Oryctolagus cuniculus: one gene and its partner. The protein of the gene in region 1 interacts with the protein of each later gene in a pairwise test. Links are inferred from orthologs where the notes say so. Each region holds a gene or a part of one and is shown on either strand. Other genes may lie near its edges. The genes, in order: TPR and NUP153.

Evidence for each region.
Region 2: the proteins of TPR (region 1) and NUP153 interact in a two-hybrid assay, tested with the Homo sapiens proteins (3 studies listed by BioGRID, with this or other methods). The link is inferred for Oryctolagus cuniculus from reciprocal best matches to the Homo sapiens genes TPR and NUP153.

What each region holds. Positions count from the first base shown.
Region 1 is NC_091444.1:3,523,986-3,527,806, reverse strand, and holds part of TPR (nucleoprotein TPR), read left to right. Parts: intron 1-946; coding exon 947-1,150; intron 1,151-1,252; coding exon 1,253-1,437; intron 1,438-1,860; coding exon 1,861-2,008; intron 2,009-3,805; coding exon 3,806-3,821.
Region 2 is NC_091436.1:144,878,048-144,881,868, reverse strand, and holds part of NUP153 (nuclear pore complex protein Nup153), read left to right. Parts: intron 1-1,898; coding exon 1,899-2,027; intron 2,028-3,821. UniProt on the Homo sapiens protein: Component of the nuclear pore complex (NPC), a complex required for the trafficking across the nuclear envelope. Functions as a scaffolding element in the nuclear phase of the NPC essential for normal nucleocytoplasmic transport of proteins and mRNAs.

The DNA of each region.
Region 1 (3,821 bases):
CTGGTGCTATGCTGATCCAAAGCCAAGAGGAGCCAGGAGCTTCTTCTGGGTCTCCCACACGGGTACAGGGCCCAAGGACTTGGGCTATCTTCCACTGCTTTCCCAGGCCACAGCGGAGAGCTGAATCGAAAGTGGAGCAGCTGAGACTCGAACCAGTGCCCATATGGGATGCCAACACTGCAAGTGGAGGCTTTACCCACTGTGCCACAGTGCCAGCCCCAATACATAAATCTTTAAAAAAAAAAATCTATCTGGGGCCAGCACCATGGCACAGTAAGTTAATTCTCCGCGTATGGTGTCGGCATCCCATATGTGCGCCGGTGCTGTTCCCAGCTGCCCTTCTTCCAGGAGGCTTTGGATGGGCGCAGCCTCAGCTGTTGCAGCCACCTGGGGAGTAAACCAACAGAAGGAAGACCTTTCTCTCTGTCTCTCCCTCTCAATATCTGTAACTCTACTTCTCAAATAAATAAAATCTTTATAAAATATATCTAATCTGAATTTCAGAATGCTGCTACACCCTGTTGTTTCTTGTGCAGTTTTAGATTAAGGGACATTATGGATTTTCAGCTTAGAGATGGTCAGCCCATAAAATCTGTGCATATAGTCCAAGACCCAAGAAATCCGAACTGTGAAATACTTCCCAGGCATTTCAGATAAGGGATGTTCAATCTGTATCTAATTCGCCATCAAGTCTCGTTTCCTTTGTTCTCTTTAAGTATGTATATATGGCTATATTCTACATAGCTGAGTCACATTTGGTTTTTTATTCCAAATTGCTATATAGTATTGTTTTAACAGTTTTTAAATATTTTCTTAAGTGGATACAGTATAGCATTTAGATAGTCTTCACTTGTTTTAAAAAGCACAGTATGTGTATTTTCTGAAAGCACTGCCCAGCTTTGAGGATTGTCAGTCTCGTGTGTCCCTGGGCAATGACGTCTTGCAGGCCAAGATGGCTGTGGAGGCCCAGAACAAGTACGAGAGAGAGCTCATGCTGCATGCCGCGGATGTGGAGGCTCTGCAGGCTGCCAAGGAGCAAGTTTCAAAAATGGCCTCAGCCCGTCAGCATCTGGAAGAAACAACCCAGAAAGCGGAATCACAGTTGCTGGAGTGTAAAGCATCTTGGGAGGAGAGAGAGAGAATGTTAAAGGTATTTTAACGGAGCATAATAGAATGGTGTGGAGAATTGGGAGAGCTGGGGTCTTTATCATGCATTGGAAACCTGCTGTTGTGATACCCTCCTGGATTACAGGATGAAGTTTCTAAGTGCATGTCTCGCTGTGAGGATCTGGAGAAACAAAATAGATTACTTCATGATCAGATTGAAAATTTAAGTGACAAGGTTGTTGCCTCGATGAAGGAGGGTGCACAGGGTCCATTGAATGTCTCTCTCAGTGAAGAAGGAAAATCACAAGAGCAGATTCTAGAAATGCTCAGGTAAGTCAGGTGTCAATACTAATGTCTCTAGTGCAGTTATGAAATGAAAATATAAATGTATAAATTGGGAATTTTATCTGTAGGTTACATATGGATATTACAGTTTTCTCTCTTAGTGACCAACAAATGCACTACTATCCAATTAGTGGTCACTGTTAGCATATTAAATGCCTTGACAGTCAAATCTGATAGTAAGAACTTACGTGAATTCTTCCTGAAGCACTAAATGCCTCCAGGCCACTTTAAGTATATCAATTTCTAAAGATACTGTCTAATAAAAAACAAAAATGTTGTCTCCCATTGTTTATAATTAGTCAAAACAGTCATTCATTTGATTTTTGTATTTTAAAAATTACCCATGTTTTGAAGTGTTGTGTTGGCCTTATTTCTTAATTCAAATAAAATCTTAACATATTCTTGTAGATTTATACGAAGAGAAAAAGAAATTGCTGAAACTAGATTTGAAGTGGCTCAGGTGGAAAGTCTACGTTATCGACAAAGGGTTGAACTGTTAGAAAGAGAGCTGCAGGAACTGCAAGACAGTCTAAATGCTGAGAGGGAGAAAGTCCAGGTATGTGTACTAAGCTTTCAGAATGTGATTGTTGAAAGAAAAGAGCTCATTTATATAAAATTTAATTTGTACAACATTCTTTTTTTGACAGGCAGAGTGGACAGTGAGAGAGAGACAGAGGGAAAGGTCTTCCTTTTGCCGTTGGTTCACCCTCCAATGGCCGCCACGGCTGGCGCGCTGCGACCGGTGCACTGCACTGATCCGATGGCAGGAGCCAGGTACTTCTCCTGGTCTCCCATGGGGTGCAGGGCCCAAGCACTTGGGCCATCCTCCACTGCACTCCCTGGCCACAGCAGAGAGCTGGCCTGGAAGAGGGGCAACCGGGACAGAATCCGGCGCCCCGACCGGGACTAGAACCCGGTATGCCGGCGCCGCAAGGTGGAGGATTAGCCTAGTGAGCCGTGGCGCCGGCCCAATTTGTACAACATTCTTACTGAACCAAAATGCTTGGTTTCAGATTTAGCTTCATACCATTACCTATATGCGCTTGGGTATATTGTTTAACTTGCTTGCCCTTGGTTTCATCTATAAAATTTGAATAATAGTAGTAAAGATTTAGTTAGTGCACATGGAACGTTTGGAACCATTGCTAATGGGTAGTATGTGCTTAATAAATTCCAGCCATCTTAATTATTTATAGTTGCCAGACACATCTGGAAGTCATTCTAGAATGGAATGATGTATTGCAACGGTTACAGAATTTCACACAAAGGGACAGTATATTGTCAGAAAACAAAAGGTACTGCAGTGGGACTATAAGGTGAAACCAAATAGGGCCTCCAGTTCATGGCACTAACTTGGAACAAAAAGAGTGGAATCAGAATTTCTGAGAAAGATTATATGTTATCTGAGTCTGTCTTGTTTCCTTTGCTGTTCCTTTGGGAAAAGCAAGTACTAGAAAATGTCCAGCCCACAAGCAAGTTCAGAGGAGAAAACCAACTTTTAGATACAGGAGAAAGAAGGTCAGCTAATCCATGTCACATCAGAAATAATATGACATCTGACCAAGAATGAACTATGTAGCATGGCACCATGAAAACTATTGTACTTTTAAAACTGGTGTGGGGAACAGTGGCATCACGTGCAAAAGATGGATAATTTTACCCACAATAAAAGAGTTCAGAGTTCAATAGATACTCAGTAAAATTCCTTGAAACCAACTGATCAAACAACAGAAACAAATAATGAGGGATATCTGAACCACAGGGTAAAAAGTGAGCATCAAGATGATAGCAGTTTATCACAGCGGTTAAGTTGCTGGTTTAGATGCCTACATCCCGTATCAGATTGCCTGGTTCAGGTCCAAACTCCTCTGCTTCCTGTCCTGCTTTCTGTTTATGTGCACCCTTGAAGGGGGCAGGTGATATCTCAAATATCTGAGTCCCTGTTACCCACATGAGAGACTCATGGAATTCTGGACTCTTGGCTTTGGCCTGGAACATCTCTCCACCTTTCAAATGCTTTTTTTTGTTTTTTGTTTTTTTAAAGTAGCATCACTTTAGAAACATTAATAAAAGCATCGTAGCAAGATAAAAAATAAACAGTGTTTTGATATAGTGTTAGTACTGCTTATTTTTGGGATGATTTGTAGTGTCTTTCTTTGTAATTTCTTGTATTTTTTTAAACTTTCAGTAACATCACAGAAAAAACAAACTATAAATTTTTAAAAGTGCTAATTTTGAAAGTTGACTTAACTAAAAGTTGAAAATGAAACCCTTTATACTGTCAGGAGAGGTAGAACTAGTAAAAAGCAGCTTTTTTTCAGCTATTAGATGTGTATGTGTTTACAACCTTCAGGTGACTGCAAAAACGA
Region 2 (3,821 bases), on another chromosome or scaffold:
CCTTCGTACTTAAAGGGATCCTAGAAATTTACTATAAATTTACTAAAAGCAAGTAAGTTTTAGCAATAAAGAGGATAGACTATTATAAAGTGATTAAACATGTTTTCTTTATTGACACAATTGTAGGAACAGTGGTTTTTATTTTGGGGAGCATAGTTGTATTGATGAAACATATATTACATAACTTTTGTTTATTAATTTATTTAAATATTTATTGCTTTATTTATTTTGAAAATCAGAATTAGATCTTCCATCTGCTGGTTCTCTTCCCAAATGGCCAAAACAGCTGGGCCAGATAGAAGCCAAAAGCTTCATCTGGGTCTTCCAAGTGGGTGGTAGAGGCCCAGACACTGGGGCCATCTACTATTCCTTTTCCCAGGCCATTAGCAGGGAGCTGGATTGGAAGTATAGTATCTGGGATACATACCAGTGCCTGTGTGTTATGCCAGCCTTGGCAGGCAGCAGCTAAACCCTCTGTGCCACAGCACTAGCCCCTATTTTACTTTATTATTAACATTTGTTTATTTATTTATAAGACATCTTTAATCTACTGGTTTATCCCCCAAATGGCTGCAATGGCTGTTGCAGGGCCAGGCCAAAACTAGGAGCTTGGAGCTTCCTCTGGATTGCCCCACGTGGGTGTCAGAGGCCCAGTTACTTTGCCAATCTTTGGTTTCTTTCCCAAGTGAATTATCAGGGAGCCGGATCAGAAGTGTAGCAGCCAGGATGTCTGGACTGGAAGTGGAACAGTGCAGCCGGGACTTGAACCAGTGTCTGTATGGGGTGCCAGCACCGCAGGCAGCTACCTCTATGCCATGATGCCAACCCCCTTTTATTGCGTGCTCCTGTCTGCTGATTCACTCCCCAAATGGGACAGCAGGGAGTAGGTGTGGGCAGAGCCAGGAGACTGGAACTAAATCCACATCTCCCATGGGGTCTCAGGAACCCAGTTACTTGAGCTGTCACTACAGTCTCTCAGGATCAAATTAGCAGGAAACTGGAGCCAGCAGACAGAACTGAGTATCAAACCGAGGTGCTCTAATGTGAGATATGGGCATTTTAACCCAAAACCCCAGATCGCTTACGTTACATACAAAGATACGCTTGTTTTGGAAAGTATGAAAAATAAAAGCTATAATGAGCACTCATTTTACCATTGGTAGCCACCATTAATCTTTAGATACGAATATTCTTAATCCTCTGCACTTATTCTAACCTCCTTTTACCCATAACTATGCTTTTTTTTTTTTAATATTTATTTATTGGAAAGAGTTGCAGAGAGAGAGAGAGAGGGGTCTTCCATCAGCTGGTTCACTCCCCAGTTGGCCTCAACAGCCAGAGCTGTGTTGATCTGAAGCCGGGAGCCAGGAGTTTGTTCCAGGTCTCCCACGGGGGTGCAAGGGCCAAAGGCTTGGGCCATCTTCTACTGCTTTCCCAGGCCATACAGAGAGCTGGATTGGAAGTGGAGCAGCTAAGACTCAAACCGGGCACCCTTACGGGATGCTGGCACTGAAGGCAGCAGCTTATCCTGCTATCCCACTGTGCTGTCCCCCATAAACTATGCTTTTAAGATTATTTTGTGACTACCTAGCATTTCATTATGTTACTATTGTGATTCTTGTAACTACTAGGCCCTTATTTTTAACCATTTTATCACATAGGTGTTTAATATTATAATTGAAAGATATTTTAAATTGTATAAATTTCTAGAAATGAAATAATTGGCTCAGTTGGAAATTACTTATCAGGTTTTTTTTATCAGTATGTTCAGTAAAGTGGCTTTTTTACTAAAGTTTTAGAAATCGATCCAAGAGTTCGCTTTGAAAGTTTTTTCTAAATTAATTCGAGTCCAATGCTTTTTCTTGGCATAATAGCTTTTATAATTAAAATAATTACAGCTCAAGATACCACTGCAGTGACCAGCAGTACAATCTGTATGAAGAGGCAAGGTGAAGATTATGAGGGTCCTTTTAGACCTGCAAAAATTATGAAAGAGGGAAGTGTCCTAGATCTTCTGAAAAACCCTGGTAAGATAATGACTGCTCTTGTGATAATCAAAAATCTTATTATACAAACTCAGGACTTCATTTTAATATCACTTGGTGTTGTACTTTATAAAAAAATGCTGACTAATCTGATAGGAGGGGACTTTTCAAAGTAGCTATGTAGATATTAATTCTTTTGTGGGAATTTGTGTGCTATTCAAGGACTTCACTAACATGAGGTCTCTAAGAGGCAAAGGCAGGAGAAAATGAATTATGTGTTATTAGAGCTAGGCCCATGTGAAATAAGCAAATAAGTTTAATGATGTACCTGCACACATGTTCCTCTGATGAAAGCATTCAACTGCCATCTCAAATTATTCTGCAGTTTGGTATATACCAAACAAGGCCACGTTTGATGAATTGTAACATATATGCCCAGAGGAAAGTATTTACCTGAAATGAAGCAAGGCTTGAAAGCTAGTTGGTAGTAGTTTGAAGAAATGAAATATGTTCACAGTTTCAGTTGTGATGTGTAACATAAAAATGTCAAAATGTTCATAGGTAATCTAGTAGTTTAAGAACACTATAGATTTACCCAGCAGATGTCTTTGTTGTAAAATGATTTAAGTATAAGATTTGGCTTTTTTGCATGACTTAGAAGGATAAAGTTTTTGTTCCAGGTGTCATTTTTAATTTGAAAGAATCACACAGAGAGAGAAGGAGAAGCAGAGAGAGTGAGAGGTCTTCTATCCGCTGGTTCACTCCCCAATTGGCCGCAACAGCAGGAGCTGCGCAGATCTGAAGCCGGGAGGCAGGAGCTTCTTCCAGGTCTCCCACGTGAGTGCAGGGGCCCAGGGACTTGGGCCATCTTCTGCTGCTTTCCCAGGCCACAGAAGAGAGCTGGATCGGGAGTGGAGCAGCATGTATATCTAGTGTTGCGTCTGGTGTTGTGGCATAATGATTAAAGCCTCTGCCTGCAATGTTGGCATACCATATGCGCGCCAGTTCAAGTCCCAGCCATTGCACTTCCTATCTAGCTCCTAGCTAATGGCTTGAGAAAAGCATAGGAAGATGGCCCAAGTACTTAGGCCTGTGCCACCCACATGGGAGACCCAAATGAAGCTCCTGGCCGTTGTAGACATCTGGGGAGTGTACCTGATTGAAAAGATATCTCTCTCTCTCTCTCTCTGTAACTCTTTCAAATAAAATAAATCAATCTTTCTTAAAAAAAAAAAAATACTAGGGTTACACTTTGTATTCATAATGTCAAACCCTTGTTTAAGTCTGAAAAATTTGGGAGAGTCTTCATTTGAGTGAAATCAAGACATTCTGAAAAAGTGGGGAGGAAAAGAAATGTGATCTTCCCTTTTTCTTTTCTTTTGGTTATTAAGGTGAGAGACATGGGTCACTGGTGGTGTGTGCAAAATTAAAAGTTAACTGGTCTCAGGGCTGGTGTTGTGACGGTACAGTGAGTGTGACACCAGTATCTCATATGAGTGGTGGTTCGAGTCCCAGCTGCTCTGCTTCCGATTCAGCTTCCTGCATAAAATGCCTGGAAAAGCAGCAGGAGGATAGCCCAAGTGCTTGGGCTCCTGCCACCCACATAGAAGACCCTAATGTAGTTTTTGGGTCCCTGGCTTTGGCTTGGCACAGCCCCAGTTGTTCAGGCATTTGGAAAGTGAATCAGCAGATGGAAGATCTTTTTCTGTCTCTTCTTCTCTGTCACTCTGCCTTTCAAATAAATTTTTTTAAAAAAATTTATTGATCTTAAATAAAAAATTAAATGGGTTATTCCCCCAAATAAAATCTAGTGTTGATTAATCAGTTCAATAATAG